Linked DNA regions of Lepisosteus oculatus. The protein of the gene in region 1 interacts with the protein of each later gene in a biochemical or structural test. Links are inferred from orthologs where the notes say so. Each region holds a gene or a part of one and is shown in the gene's direction. Other genes may lie near its edges.

The links. The genes of interacting proteins can lie anywhere in the genome.
Region 2: the proteins of lyn (region 1) and faslg form a complex in vitro, tested with the Homo sapiens proteins (2 studies listed by BioGRID, with this or other methods). The link is inferred for Lepisosteus oculatus from reciprocal best matches to the Homo sapiens genes LYN and FASLG.

Annotation. Positions count from the first base shown.
Region 1 is NC_090701.1:49,187,412-49,195,556, forward strand, and holds the start of lyn (tyrosine-protein kinase Lyn), read left to right. Parts: upstream 1-5,058; 5' UTR 5,059-5,143; intron 5,144-8,145. UniProt on the Homo sapiens protein: Non-receptor tyrosine-protein kinase that transmits signals from cell surface receptors and plays an important role in the regulation of innate and adaptive immune responses, hematopoiesis, responses to growth factors and cytokines, integrin signaling, but also responses to DNA damage and genotoxic agents.
Region 2 is NC_090704.1:31,524,269-31,532,156, forward strand, and holds the start of faslg (tumor necrosis factor ligand superfamily member 6), read left to right. Parts: upstream 1-4,788; 5' UTR 4,789-5,072; coding exon 5,073-5,330; intron 5,331-7,245; coding exon 7,246-7,291; intron 7,292-7,610; coding exon 7,611-7,667; intron 7,668-7,888. UniProt on the Homo sapiens protein: Cytokine that binds to TNFRSF6/FAS, a receptor that transduces the apoptotic signal into cells. Involved in cytotoxic T-cell-mediated apoptosis, natural killer cell-mediated apoptosis and in T-cell development.

The DNA of each region.
Region 1 (8,145 bases):
GTCATATATTAAGACTTAATTTTACATACATTTTTCAGAAGATGCCTACAAGTATTTTGAGAAATGTTACCAGTGTTCTTGATGAATTGTAAATATTAAACCTGTTCTGTTAAGTGCTTCAGAAGCGTTTAATATTGAAACTATCATGTATTTGTTGTGTAAAGTACCTTTTCTATAAAAGTGAATCAGTAATGCTCATGCTATATCCCATTATTGTTTTTTTTATTTTAAAGATTATTGGATTTTTGAACCCATATTCATGTACAGTATATGGTAACAAAGCTTGAATTATACTGTTGGCAGTGTTATATTTTTTTTTAGGCATATCGATCAAAGTTCCTATTAAAACATTATATTCCATAACTATTTTTGTAGATTTTCTTAATACTAGTAGTTTGTTCACTGGTGGAGTATATTTCAGTTGTCAGATGTTAACAGCTAGATTTGTTGCTACACAAAATGTTTTCATTGTACAATTTAAGGATGTGAGTTTTTGTGACTTTGGAAAAAGCACTAAGTTGGCAAAGACAAGCTTTTTCACATGTCTTTTATAAACGGATCAAAGAGACGGAAGAAAAAAAGTTATTTTTTGGGGTGTGTATAAATGTAGCACCAGAAATGGCCAACACGTTATTCCATGTTTTTAAAAAGGACTATTTCATTTTTTAGTTTTTTTTTTCCATTTGATAAAAAATCTTACATATTCAAAAACAGAAGTGTCTTAAGAATAAGCTATTGGATTCTTTTTAATTGGTTTTATTTTAAGGATCTCATCACCACTGTAAGTTTTCTACTTAAAGCAGGAGAGATGGCACAGTGGAGGAACATGAGAAACTTGGCGTTAGCACAGGCTGTGTGTGTAATATCTTCATGTTGTTTGGCAGTCCACCAGAGCTGTACGCCATTCGCAGTCATGGACATTAAGGACAGAAGCCACGTGCTACAAAGTGGATGCTTTGTGTGGATGTAGTTAGCGTGCATTGATTTTTCAACATTGTGCTTCGATGTTGCCACCTTTGTTATTTATAATCTTACCGTTTCAAATCAGCCTTTAAAGACTGAAGATTTAAGCACCTTTTTCAGGAGCATCAAGCCTGCATATTACAATGACTATTCTACTGCCAATGATGTTGTTTATTCTGGATTTGACAGGTATTATAAACCCTGCCTGACAGCAAAGAAATACAATTTCAGTGTCAGTGTCCTATCACTGGGCTTTGACTGTCAGCTCTGTGCCACCGCATAACTTGCTTGGTGTAGACGTCTGCCATCTGTAGATGTTGTACACCATTGGCTTTGCTAGCTGCCTCCACCTTCCTGCTTACTCTGTTTTTAACGTGTGTATCCAGGTTACCAAACCAGGTCGCTACAGTGAAGGTGACAACAGATTTAGTAAACATTCTGTAGAATAATGTCATTGCTGTCGTACAACTCGTTAAAAGAGCGGAGTTAAGTCAGGAAAAGCAAATGCCGTTGGTTCTTCTTACATACAGCATCCGTGTTTTCCTCAAATGTTAGTTTGTCGATGAATGTCTGACCCCCGTCTGTCTTCCAGATCCACTTTCCACCCAATCTCTGTGTGCATTGTTTTCAGACCAGTACAGGGCATAGTGCAGGCAGCCTGTTTCCTCCTCATTCCCAGCTGTTTTTCACTCTAGTCAGGGAAAGCTTCATCAAGATCGTTACTTTCTCTTCAACATGGCATAGGCTGTCAGTGGAGGCATTTAGTATTTATCATATATTTCTGGTTGCAGGTGCCATGGAGGTGGAGTGGTTAGAGTTAGTGAGTGCAGCTGAACGTACCCAATGAAGAAAAGAGAGAGGGAAGAGCAGGAGGAATTAGGAAGACTGCAAGAGACCGATGTTTAAAAGATAAGATAGGATCCCAGAGGAGATAAACCACATAAACATACACTGGTGGGCTGGCACGTGTCACACTGTGCACATTTTCTGTGCTTAGGAATGGAAAATCCATGAATGGTTTTCATGAAGGATAGAACTAGACCCCCATGTCCAGCTGGATATAGATGGTTCCATTTCTAAATAGTTTGCCTGCCTGGCAAAACAGGCTTTATTTTCTGACAGCCACATACTGTAACAGTCTTATTTATAACTTTCGTTTTGTAATTTGCAATACGTCCATCCAGAATTAGGAAGTCCGCACTTGTAATGGAAATTGTTGCTCATATGTAAATGAGATTTGCAACAGTTCACTAACATTACAACATAAGTGCATTGATGTCTTTCTTCTTTTCTATGCTGAAAAGCAGAAAGAAGATGCACAACTTTTCAGCTGTGGAGCCTTCACACCTAAAGAAGGCTCCACAGCCAAAACATCATGTTTCTTCTTTCTGCTTTTAACTGTTCATGTATATCATGTTATATCTGTTATAAACACTAGTTTTATTGAAACAGACCTTCATCAATCTGATCAACAACAAATACAAGAATGCAAGATGCGCAATAAGGCTAGACAACGTGCTGCTGATAACATTGCACGGATGACTTTGACCAGGTAACTGCTGATCAATCAGCTGATCGCAGGTGGTGTTTTTCAGATATTTGTGTCTTTTGAACCCCTCACTGCCTTTGTTTAGCACACAGTAAGTTGTTTGATCAATGGCACAGTTTGGGAAATCTGCTCAGGCATATCAGCAGAAGATATCTGGTCTCAGTTGAGCTTGTATGTTGTGTTTAATTGTATGGAACAAGCAACAAAAGAATTATTGTAAGGTGTCGGATAGGAATAACTACATATCCTGTTTTGCAACAAGCAGCAGAGCTCATGTTTGGCAGAGAGTCCAAGGCAAGTGTTCATACATGGCAAGGACATCTGTGTCCAAAACGTCCTAGCCTCAGGGAAGCATGGGCAGGTGAATGGAAGAAGCTGAATTCTACAACCCAGGCACTTCTACAAGCAGTGCCTTCTGCTAAAGACTTGTCAGCACAGCCCTGAGAAGAAGTGGCTGTGAAATTGGATAGAGAGCATGCATGGCCAATCATAGCTTCTACACTGGGCCAGAGTAACACTCCGAGAACTTATCCTATCCAGTAAAGTACATCTGCTGGAACAGACAACATCTGAGGTCTCTTAAGCAAATGAGGAAGTGATGTGATAGAAGAATCATCGGCTGCCACTTCTGTCACTGATTGATCAGGGTCTAAGCAGTCATAGAACCCCCTGTAAGCCACATCAAGAGCCTGAATCATGAGAAAGCCACTGTGTTAAAGAGAATATGAACCCAAGTGATTAACACATAGCTATATACAAGAGGCTAAAAATCCCTCAGCTGCTACGTACAGTAGGTTATCCAGTAGGATTTTTCACTGAAATTAATAATTAAAGTTACAAGTAAAGGTTAGTTCCATTCTTAAATAGAAGAGACAAGATTTTGACTGTAGAGCTGTCTTCTAGTGTGAGGAAGAGAGAAGACGGGTAGAAAGGATATAAAGCACAGGTGAACAAAAGGAAGGAGCAAATGAAAAAAATGCACAGAGCAGGTGAGGAAAAGTGTCCAAACAAACAGAGATCCGGGGGAGAGGTGACAAAATTGGAATGGATATGGCTCAAAAAGAAATCCGTCTATCATTAAAGGGGGTAGGAAGACATCCAAATTTAAGGAAAATCTTGTTTGTTTGTTTGTTTTTCCTGAAGCAGTAGTATTGAAACCCCTGTAAAAGGATACAGACAAAACGGTCAGTGAAATCATGGCCAGGACAGGTGAAATGGAGAACTATTTGGGTGGAGAGATTTTTCATCCTTACAACTCTGATGTGCTCCCTGAAACGGTTAGCAAGTTTTCTTCTTGTCTCACCGATGTAAGAGAAGCAAGAGATGCAGTAAATGAGATTACTAGATACATTTCTGAGTGATTTTGAAATGTATGGTACTGGACACACGCATATGCTGGTGATTCAACAGCTTCTGTTACAGCAAAAAAAAAAAAGGTGCCTGGTGTGGATGGTAACGGATAAATCAATATTTAAAAACGTTGTTGCTTGTTTGTTCCATACAGTGTCTGTTAATTTATTTTTAGAATTATAACTCCATCGCCTTCGCTCTCACTCCAGGAGACTCATATTACATAGAGCGCCTTCAACGTTTTTAATAAAGTAACTAAGCAAAACAGGCGGTTCGAGTTTTGTTACTCACTTCGTTAATTACCAGATTCTTGAGTTGTGTGGCAATAAATCTGAGCAGACCAGCTGACCTCTCGTCTTCGTAAGGGTTTTGTAAGGGAAGAACATATACAGTAGTTGCTTTTATGGCCTTTGGCCATTATGAGTACGTTTTCCGATTTGCGCTTTTGTTTACTCTATTTATTATATTGATTGTTCAGCTTACTTATACCTAATATAAATTTGCAGAAAAGCAAATAACAGTTTGCTGCAGCATTCCGAAAAAATAAATTAATGGGTATTTTTATAAAAAAATATCCTTTGAATTTTGGACATAAAAGCATAACACGTGTTTCCTAATTTATATAATTTATAATAGGTATTTGAATTTCCATCCATTTTACAATCCATACAAAATCCATCTAAAACCTCTCAATGCGGTATCAATATTATATCACTACAGATATGCGCCACTGGGAGAAGAAACATGAGTTTTTGTCTGATTTTGTAGAAGTCAAATTCGTGGATTTGTTGTAGCATTAAAAAAACTATTTCGTTACTTTCAGAGAGCAACGCTTTGTAATCGGTCACAGAATCCTTTTACAAATAGTATTAATAACTTGCTCCTCTAAAAAAAAAGTGCATTAATTCCTGAAATGCTTTTTTAATGGTTGGCACTTGCAACTCCAGTATTCTTGCTTTCCCCAGAAATTTTGCTTGTGTTCAAGATAACATAAAGGTCTCCAGAGACCGGACATTTGAAGAGCGCAGGGGTATTATGCAAATAAATGCTAAACATACTGAACATTGTACCAGGAAGTTGCACTAAAAACTCCCAAACCAATTCTGAAAACCAAGTTCCTCATTCTGTGTGCTAGATGTTAACAGCAGAAATTAAAACTGGACTTCATTTTTCAGAAGAATAAATGTGTAAACAGTACGCGTGAAATTCGAAAAATAGTTGATCTGCGACAATTTAAAGGCGCCAATTACTGGACAGAACAAGGATCTATAATTTACAAAAGTAAGTCAATTATTTTGTTATAGTCCTAAACAGTTACTAGTATACTAAGTTTGGTGGTAACACCATTCTGTACTCAATTCTTGACATTAAAAAAAAGATATTTTCTTTCAATAATAGTACCTGAAATTAAGGTGGTAAGAGTTCTATTTGATACAGTTTTTTAAAAACGTTACTTCGGTTCAGCTGTTTGTTTTCCCGTTGGTTTTTACAGTCTATTAATAAAGACAGTATTTGCATCATCTCCATAATCATTATCATCTTTCATGGAAATATTATGCTCCATATCTTCAAAGCACTGTACGTGTAAAGTACATTCTTTTACCGTCTTTTAATAACACAACAGTTTCTAAACCCAAGTAAAATGCAATAAACGTCTTCTAGGAGCAGAGTGTGTTTTATCTGACTTAATGTACAGTCCGTGAATAAGCACTGAAGTAGAGGGCTGTCTTGAAACCATTTGTAGGTGTCGATGTGTGTGCCTCCCAACACGTATGTTTCTAGATATGTTAGCAGAATAAGATTGTATTTCTATGACTGTGCAAAGTGCTTCAGATTTTTAATATCATGGGTTTCTCTATGTAACAAACATCGTATGATTTTTTTTAAAACAACAAAATATAGCGAATTCTGGGCAATGTTAATATTTTAGAAACTCTTCTTTTGTTAATTTTTAAGTTCACGTTTTATTGTTTTACTTTGTTATGGGGTAAAGTAATGTTAGAGATGTACTTTAATAAATGCTGGCTAAACTAAAACACAAATAGTATAATTTTTGTGTCATACTTGTTGTGTATTTAAGGAAAGATACCATAGCTTTCAGGATTTTCAGGATAGGTAGCTTAAGCAAACCAAACATTACAGTTTTTAACATTTTGTTTAACTGGTTCATAAAGCAAAAACAATACAGAACACACAACAACATCTAGAAATCTATCCATAAATTATTTAGGTTTGATACTATAACAGTAAAAAGTCAACTTGTTCACATTAATATCAATCATTTCAGCAGACTCATTATACACCTGGAATCTTCAGGTGTATAATTTGAAGAAGAGGTGTCTGGAAGTACTGAGATTTTAACTTCAAGACACTGGAACAAAGTGTGTTTATTAGGAATATTTGTATTCCTAATAATGATGTTATTCAATACTAGTTTGCTATAAAATGTAAAGAAAAAAGATGTCATGAAAAACTGAATGTCATTGAAATTTTGGTTGTTTTTTATTCATGCCATCATGAATTATTTACAAGCATGCAGAATTATACTTTTATTAAAAATATCTTGTGGACTTTATCAGCAAAGTTGTTTTTAAATATGTCATGTATTATATTTCTGTAAATGTTTTAGTATGTAGCTTATTATTTGCCTTTCAACAATGGAGAGTAGCTTATAACCCCTAATGCAAAACCCACATACTTCACAGGAAATGCAAGAAAACAGGTGGTCATGTGTTTTAGACACGCATTGCCCAGAGATGGTTTTCAACACTTTTAGCTTGGTATCTTTTCTAAACCACATTGACTTTTCTATACAATAGTATTGTATAATAAATGTTTGTGCTGTCTGATAGTTTAACACTAGTTCAGTACTTTCATAAGCATCACTTCCACAGATAAGATAAAGAATGAGTCCTGTTTGTAGTTTGTGCTGCTGAATACCTTGCTGAAGTATGGAAGCAATGCCTACATATACAATGTATTCTATATCAATATACCATCAATTTACCTTATCTACCTGTATCTTGTTTTGTTGAAATCTTTTTGTACAGACGCTTCATGTCATACTACTTTATGTGTTGTAGTAGCAGGGGTCGTTCTTCGAACGAGTCTTAATTTGTTGGTTTGGCAGGATTATCATTTTCAGACTGAGCAGGTTGTCCTCTGCCGTGGGGCTGCAGTAATGTTTTGCGCTTTAGCTTTGACTTTGTGTGTTTTGAACATAGTATAAGACATAAGAGGATGTCTTAAACAATCAGCACAATTTGTGGCTCACTTACTGCACATACAGTACAGTATTACACTAATGCAGATAGCAGTAAAACCTTACAATTTGGTTCTGTGTCCATTTTATTTAACTATAAGCCACATAAATCAAAATCAGACAGTTTAAGAGTGGAGGTACCAATCACCCTCTGTAGTGCCAAGTTTATAAATGCTGAGTTTGATGATTTGCAAGGTCCGAAACAGCTAATGTGTGTCAAATGGAGAATTTCCTTTTTGCAAGAAGAACTGTGCCGTTGTGACATTTGTGAGGTGTGCTCATTTGTTTAAAACATACATTAAAATGTCCAAACAAGTTGAATGTCATCTGGCATTGTTCCTTGAAAATGCTTGCTAAAATGCCATTAAGAATAGGGATTAGCATTTGAAAAGAGACAAAACGTGTTGATGATGGTATTAGCTCTCAGGTGGTTATCTACATAAGCTTTTATTTTATTGGACATTAAACAGCATGTTATCTACTGTATGTAGTAAGACCCTGCTCACTATCTGAATCAGCAGTCTTCCCCTGACATGTCAGAGTTGTTGCACAAATGGCCCAGCTCAGAGGAGGAAATACAGCACATCAATTGCAGAAGGGTTACCATGATAATCTGACCATAGCACCCTGCCTGTTTCCTGGCTCTCATCTAAAAATACAGTGACGTCTCAGCTCCAGCATTTCTCAATCTAAAGTCCAGCTCTTTCAGTGGTTTCATCGTCTCTTGAACAGCTTTGTTTAGAAACTATGAGGTCTATTTTCTTCGACGCTTTTTATTGTTCTTTCTGATGTGACAGTTTATTTGGGTTCCTACAATTATTTTTTTTTTAAAACGTTGAGCATTTCTCTTTGGTCTCAAATGAAATTTGAGAGAATTAATATGTGTTTGCACAGATTTTGTGGGCTTTTTTGACCACTTTTTAATAACTGTAGTAATGTCCAGTATTGTAACTTTCTATAAAAAATGTCCATAAATGCTCCTTTTGGGGGAATGCTTAATAAATTTTACAGTGAGAGAAAC
Region 2 (7,888 bases), on another chromosome or scaffold:
TTCTGATCTTTTTCAAAAGCTGACAGAGGAAATGATTACATGATTATAACCTCATTTTTTTTTTGGGGTGGGGGGGAACGCATTGTGTTTTTTCCAGATTTCAGAGTGATGGTTAAGCCTCGGTGAGCAATGTGGTCTCCCCACAGCGATTCTTCGGGTGCGAAGAAGACGTCAGCGAGCGAGAGAAGTGCAGTGCCTTCCAGTAAAACGCCTGGAGTCCCGGCCCCGTCTGCACAGCGAGTGATGGAGCAGGTGGGGGGACTCGGGCTGTGCCACCCGCTTCCTCTCGCCCCCCGCTGCTGCTGCTGCTGCTCTCGAACAGCGTCTGAGAAACTTGTATCCGCTGTCGAAGACCCGCCTTTCATGTGGCTCAGCTCCCTTCCTCCTGCTCTCCGGGCTGCAGTGAGCGAAACCCGTGTGGTATACATCAGCTCTGTTTACAAACATCGCCTGGCAGAGCCGGGCCGGGAGAGCGTGTGCGCGGAGCCAGGAAGTCAAAACTTCAGAGACACAAAGTCGGGTTTCGTGGCCACTCTGGCTCATGCTGGTGTACAAAGATCCCTGCTCGCACACCTGTAAGGACAGCTGCCAGGTGTCCAGGCGCTGCTGCGCGGGTTTCAAGCCGCAGTGATCGAGTACGGAGCTGAGCCAGGGCTTGCTGAGGCATCACGGCCGCCACGTGTCTGCAGACATAAGACAAAGCCAGGCCTGTCACAGTCCTGCACGAGCTCTGGCCGTAGCTGATTCGCCGGGCACCGTCTGTGTGCCGCTTTTGTTTTTGATACTCCAGTGGCACACCAACAAGCAAACTTTCTGTGGGGCTGCTTAAAGAGCATCCACTTCCTTTCCCACAGCACAGCATATTAAAGAAAAGGCCTGATCTGCTACTGTTTTGCAGTGCTTTATGGTCACGGGACATACCTTGCGCTAGGCCTTGCCAGTACACAATGGGGGTCCGTTCATTCTCTAATGTTGTGGCTCCTAGAAATTAGACAGTCAGCTTTCCAATGATTTTTAGCTGAACAAGCCCAGACCACATTTTAGCTCATCACCATTGATGCCTGTGTACAGGAAATGCAATGATGCTTCATTGCTTAAACAATAGTTTCCCTGTGGTTGCACGTCAGGTCTCCCAAGCTCTTTGCTCTTGTGCAGGTTCATTCGAGGTCAGATGTGATGACAGGAACTGTCTTTAGGGTGATTTCAGAAGGGTTACCCATCACTGAGGTTAAGTGATCATCAGGCGGCAGCTCCCTCTAACCTGAGCCTCTGTGATGCCGGTGTACAGAAACTGCTGCAAAACCTGAGACTGTTTTTGGCTTTAGGGCAAGGATTCGCCTCTTATACGTTAAAAATCTCAGTTTGGGGTCATAAGTGTAAATTGCCACTTTGCTCAGAATTTGCGGTTTCCATCTTCCACCCTGTTTACCTCTGTACAGCATTTTCTACTGAATGACTTTCTTTAAAAATTAAAACCCCACAGAGCTCTGAGATTAACAAATGTACAAAAGAAAAATCTATTCAGTCCCTGCGAGGAGACAAGTTTTGTAAAACGTAGAGGGAAAAAAAACGAACAAATTAACATGATTTGAAGTCCACCATTTAAAAAAAGACGGCTTCCCAGCCCCTATAATTTCTACACTAAGGACAGTTGTTTAATATTTGTGATACCATGCAGACTGAAATCACACACTTGTGGTAATGCAATCTGAGTCACCAATTTCCATTATATTTCAAAAAGCGTTTTTTTTTTATGATTCTTTGGTGAAAAGTACGAGACTGGGAGCTTGTCTCAGTGCAGACTTGCTTACAGGAAATGCAACCAATATTTTCTACACAAGTGGCAATTTCCCTACCGCTGTACGTCAGGGTGTCCAATACCTGCCTAAGAATGCTTTCTAAGTCATGATGTCACCTCATGACTTCACACAAATCGGAGATGAGTTACTCAGATTGTGGGGAAGCCATTCAGCCCGTTTCTTCTTGAGCTCCACAGCTGCAGAGCTCTCTCTCCCCACTGCCTCCTACATGTAGACCAGTGCTCTTCCAATATCTGTGCACCTCCTGCAGACCAGTGCTCTTCCAGCATCTGTGCACCTCCTGCATTTGAAAATCATTCGCATGTCTGCACATTGTTGTTAGAACAACTCTCGACCTTCACTGCTCCTGCTTAGAGTTTACAATCCTCCTTGAGACATTGTTGTTAGAACAACTCTCGACCTTCACTGCTCCTGCTTAGAGTTTACAATCCTCCTTGAGACATTGTTGTTAGAACAACTCTCGACCTTCACTGCTCCTGCTTAGAGTTTACAATCCTCCTTGAGCCCCAACATATCCCGTGTCCTGCAGTGCCTTCTTGTGCTCAGGGTCAACTTAAGGGAGGCATTTAAAGGTGTTTGCGTGCTTTTGTGGCCAACTGCTTTGGTGGGTTGAATTAGGACTGGGAACGGGAGGCACATGTTTACAAGCAAGGTTGTGGGATTCTAGATCAGACACCCGAGTCCTGTGGTTAATGCCAGTTCCTGGGGATGTCCTGCAAGAAACAGATCCTCAGATCAATGGGTTATTGTCAGCTGTGGTTACAACCCTACTCTTTTGGAGAAACACCCTGGGATTTTTAATGACCACAGAGAGTCAGGACCTTGGTTTTACATCTCATCTGAAGGACGGCGCCTTTTTATTGTATAGTGACCCCCTCACTATACTGGAGCATTAAGACCCACACAGATCGCAGGGTGAGCACCCCCTGCTGGCCCCACTAACACCTCGTCCAGCAGCAACCTTAGTTTTTCCCAGGAAGTCTCCCATCCAGGTACTGACCAGGCTCACACCTGCTGAGCTTCAGTGGGGCTGACAGCGTGAGTTGCAGGGTGATATTTCTGCTACAATCAAACTCACAATTAGAGGTTTGCAAAGAACCCCTACAGGGGAAAACCTCTGGTGGCCCCAGCGGATCAGACGCCCCCACCCCGGGCATGTTAGCAATAGATATTGATTAGCTGAAATGCCTGAGAGAGTGGTGTTGATGTAAAGGTGGAGCGCAGAAGAGGACGACTGGCCAGTTGTTTAAATAAGGTGAATATCCAGGATGGTTGGGGCAGTGAAGATAGCAGCTCCAATTCTGAAGAAACGAGGATCCAGACCAGCATTGTAGATTGAAACACAGCTGAGGAGAAAACATGTATCTGGGTACTGAAGTATTAACAACGAAGTGGATCAAGCTAGAAAAAATGAGAAGCTGGGGTACAAGTCAGGTCACTCAATTCTAAAAACGGAATACAGACAAACTGGTGGATTGCGGCTCTAAGAATCTGCGGCAGTCAAACACATTGCATCCAGAAGAGCATCCTTGAAGGGGTAAAATGGGCCTTGTCTCGGGGGGAAAAAAGCGGAGGATGTTGGAGGAGATAGGCTTCCCGGAAGGAACTCTTAGAGGTGCTGTCTCTGGATTCCAAGAAATGCAAGATGGAGTGCTGGAATAGAAAGCAGTGAGGACAGCAGAGGGACTGAAACATGGGGCAGAACTGAATCCCAGAGGTAAGATCCTGTTGCGCTTGGAAAAGTGCACTTAAAATGGAAATAAAGGCGGCCGGTGGAATGAGGGAAAGGGAGAGCATGCAGTCCTGGCAGAAGAGTAGGCTGTGGGGGCAGATGGGCTACAGCATGTAGTAACACGTCCACTGAATCTGGGCGGAGATTTGATCCTAGACGACAAAAGAATGCGGAACTCAAAATTTGAAGGGGAAAAGAGCTGAGATGGGCATGAGGATGAGGGATTGGGGTAATTGAGAACGGTAAAAAGCCTTGGTTGAGCATTGGAAAGGCCAGGGGGACGATCCTCGCTAGAGCTGAAGGAAATCCAGGTGAGATGGCGAAGGAAACTTGAAACTAGGGGAAGAGGATCTTCCTTCAGTGGAAATGGAAGAAGTGGATTTGATATCAGAAGTAAGATTGATCACTGGTCCTGAGGTGTCACGGACATGGATGGCAGCAACATTAGGGTAGAGCTCTAGAAGGGCTGATGATTATACGAGGAGAGAGAGAAAACCACTGGGCATTGAATATTACTGAATGACTGACAGAAGCATTAGAGAAAAGGAGGAGGTCATGCAGAGTAGAACACCAATTCTTGTAGAAGAGAGAGGAAGCTCTGGAGACGGAGTAGAGATCACAGTCTGATATCCTTCCGAGCGTCAGCCGATATGGTAACGTGGGCATTGAGAGACGACGGTTGTAGAAAGCGAGAAGATGGGAGAATGTTTTGGCTTGAGGTATAATGCGGAAGTCATCATTTTAATGCGCCGACTAGGATAGCAAGTCACATTAGAGATCATTTCAAAATCTGAGATGAAAACAGACTTTAGAGACCGTTGTCGGGAGGAAGGTGAGCTGCAAATTTAACCGTATCTAAAGTGATAGGGCTTTTCTGCTGGAACGCTCACTAAAAGCAATACCAAAGGGGGAGATCCATTATGACAAAGAGGAGACTCTAGGAAGGAGCCAACGAGAAAACCTTTCACAGCTCAGCTGGAATTGAGGCGGCAATCATCTCAGGCTGCGAGCCTTTATAGGTCTAGCGCTCCGAATTCAAATAAGTTGAATTAAAAAACTTCAGATGTGTGTTAGCAAGGTTAGGGATTAAATGGGATAATTGATAATTGAATGATAGAGGAAGGGGCGGAGCCCTCCACCCATCGGTTTCTATTTAAAGAGGAGTGCTGGCTGGCCTCAGTGTGTGTGTCTCAGAGCGGTGTCGAAAGCAAACGTACATGTACTTGTGCACCCCTGGACACGCGAAAGGGGATTAGCTGAATCTGTCAGTTTCTGAGACATTCAAGAGCCTATCAGAGCTGCCGATCTGCAGGCTGGGAGGAAACTGTGGGTTCTGATCTGAGTCTGAAGTACCTACGTGATTGAAACAGAGTGCAGAGGGAGAGAAAGAGAGAGTGTGTGAGAGGACAACGGAAAGGCAACAGATTAACAGGTCGCAGAGCGTGCAAGCCTGCTCGCAGAGCCGCAGAGCCGCAGAGCCTGAGCGAGACCTCCAGACCAGCCCCCCGGCGTGTGGGACCATGCAGCAGAACCTGAACTATGTCTACCCTCCGATCTTCCTCATGGACAGGGCAGGTCAGGAGGCGGCTGCACCGGCTGCCAACATGGTCCCTACCTGGGTGTCTCTGCCTCCCCCCGCGAAGCAGCCGCAGAGAAGGTGCAGAAGATCCTGCATCACCACAGTGCTCGTCTTCTTGCTGTTTCTGATCCTGTGTGCCCTGGGGCTGGGTGCCTACCAAATCCTGAGAATGCATGGAGAGCTGGCACAGCTCAAGCAGGTCAGCCAGGGAGGGTCTGGGGGTGCGAACTGTCCACTCTGTCTGTGTCCTTGCGGGTGTGATGGGAGCTCCAACACTGTGTTTCCTACTGGCCGTTCGCCTGTCAGAACGTCTGTCCAGTCCTTCTGCCTGAGCGTGCGTGCAATGGTTCTGCGCTGTTGCTAAGAGTGTGGCTGCTTTGGAGGCTTGCTGCTGAATTTCAGAGGTTTTCTGCGCCTGTCCTTCTGTGTGTTATTTTTCATTACGTGTGTGTGAAGTGGTCTTTCTGTGTAGCATTATCTCTGTTTGACAGCGACATTTCACTCGAATGGGTAAACCTCAGAATAAAAAAGAAACATTACAAAGCTAAAGTTAACTAAGTTATTCGAAATGAAAGTTCTACTTAGAACTTTGTAACAGGTCTTTAAACAATTTCCATAATGGAGATTTGGGATGAACAATCATCAGAGACCAGCAGCATTTTTTCAGTGCTTTTAAATGCTTAGAGTCATAAATATATAAACAAATAATAGGAAACCATTTGTGTGTGACTGCTTTGTACCAAGATCTACATCAGCAGATAAGGGGCTCTTCGTATATATGCAGACTATCATCAGATAAGATGTCTCAAGAAAACATAAATATGTACTTTTATGTGTGTGCAGGGAAGCTCAGTGGGACTTGATATGAGATGAGAGATTTGTTCATTTTAATTTGAATCACCCTAACTACTTAAAAGAAAATAAAAATAATAAATAATACATCGTCATAATAACTAAAACATTTCATGCAATCATTGGGTGGTGAATGGGGAGGGTATATGGCCATTTAAAGGAAAGGCAGTTAACACTGGACAGTTAAACATGATTTTCAGTTTGCTGGCAGCTTTAGGTTTCAGTCTTGTGAAACGCTTGACAATCAAATGGAAACTGATGAGGTCTCACAGTGTTACAATTCATTTCCCACCTTCAGGGTGGTCAGAGCTTGATCTCCGACTCCATTCAGATCACGATGGACGTTACTGCATTTTATGAATCAAAACTCAATAGCTGATGTAAAATGAACTCAATTTGCCGTCTGCCTCATCTATCAATCGGCGACGGGTGTCTGCAGTCCTCCAGAGTCAGATTCCTGTAGGTGTTTGCAGTACCTTTCCATTGGCAACTGATTGGGACCTAAAAATTCAAACAACAATTAAGAACTTAAGATTAGAGCTAGAATTAAGACCAAAGAGTCCTTTGGCACTTCAGGAACTTATGTTGTGTTATGTCATGTATCATATCGTATTGTATCATATCATATCATATCATATCGTATTGTATTATGACCGGATGACTCACTTTACCAGTGTGTGGAACCTTCATGTGTGGGGGAGAACCAGGGGGAGAGGAGCAGTAGGTGGTGTTATGTAGGCACAATATTAAGATCTTAACTTAATATTAAACCTTTCTGTGACATTTAATCCAGCGCAGCTGCAGTGCGCATATGAGTGTCACATCTGAGCTGTGGTCAATGGTCTGCACCAACAGGATGTCGCAGAAATTCGCACTGTGAGAAGAATCAGGCACAGCCCCCTGTTACCATCGGCTCTGCATTCGGAGTTTCTGTCACTCGTACGCTGAGAAAGGGCACTAGGGCCCATTGCACTTGATTTTGCACACTAAAACAAGCACAAAACACACACAAAGCAATTTTCACAGGGGTCTGCAGACAACAGAGAAAAAAAACATAAATCTAACAGACTTACAGTAGGTGTTGGGGCTTTCAATCAAAGAATGTCTTCACTTCATTGCTGTATTTATTGAGAATGGCTGTATTTATTGCTGAGATTGTATTAAAATTGAGAATTGATTCAAAAGGTTGAACAGCAAGCAGTATGAGCCCCTGGTTGTTTATATGGAAGTCATACTGAGTCAGTCTCTCCCTCTGTTTCCAGGCTGTAGATTCAGAGCACCAGACGCCTGTGCTGCAGAAACAAGTCGGTGAGTGAACACGCCCTCGTATACTGGCCATGAGTGAGGGCCACACTTGGGCTGATCACCGGTCCCTGCTCTTCAGAGTCAGGATCTGGCCTGACATTCACATACCCCTGCAAAGCCTAACCCACTGAAAGCTTTTGTTATAGTCCTGCTGGAAACGGTGGGCTCCACTCCGCCCTAATTTGCACTTATTCCTGCCTTAGAGTAAGGAAAAATTGATTTTATGTAGGTTTTAAAAGCCATACCAGTGAAAGCTACTGAGATGCTTTGGAATGGGACATCCTGTGAAATGGGCATTAACATACCTCCTGGTTCTTTACAGGCCTACTGGAGACACTGGCAGAAAGGAGAGAGATAAAGAGGATTGCACATCTAACAGGTAAACACTTGGCCACCGCACTGCTTCTGTAGGGATGCAAGAAGTGGGTTTGAAACTAGATTGTTATGAAGGCTCCTGGAAAGCCAGAATGAAGTTCTCTTGGCTGTGGGCCCCTGGTTTTACTGTAAGCACGGAGCAACCTTCCACATTGTCATCTAAAACAGGGTGTTGTGCTAAGACGAAAGGATATAGTGTATTTGGACACTGAAACGCCAAACTGC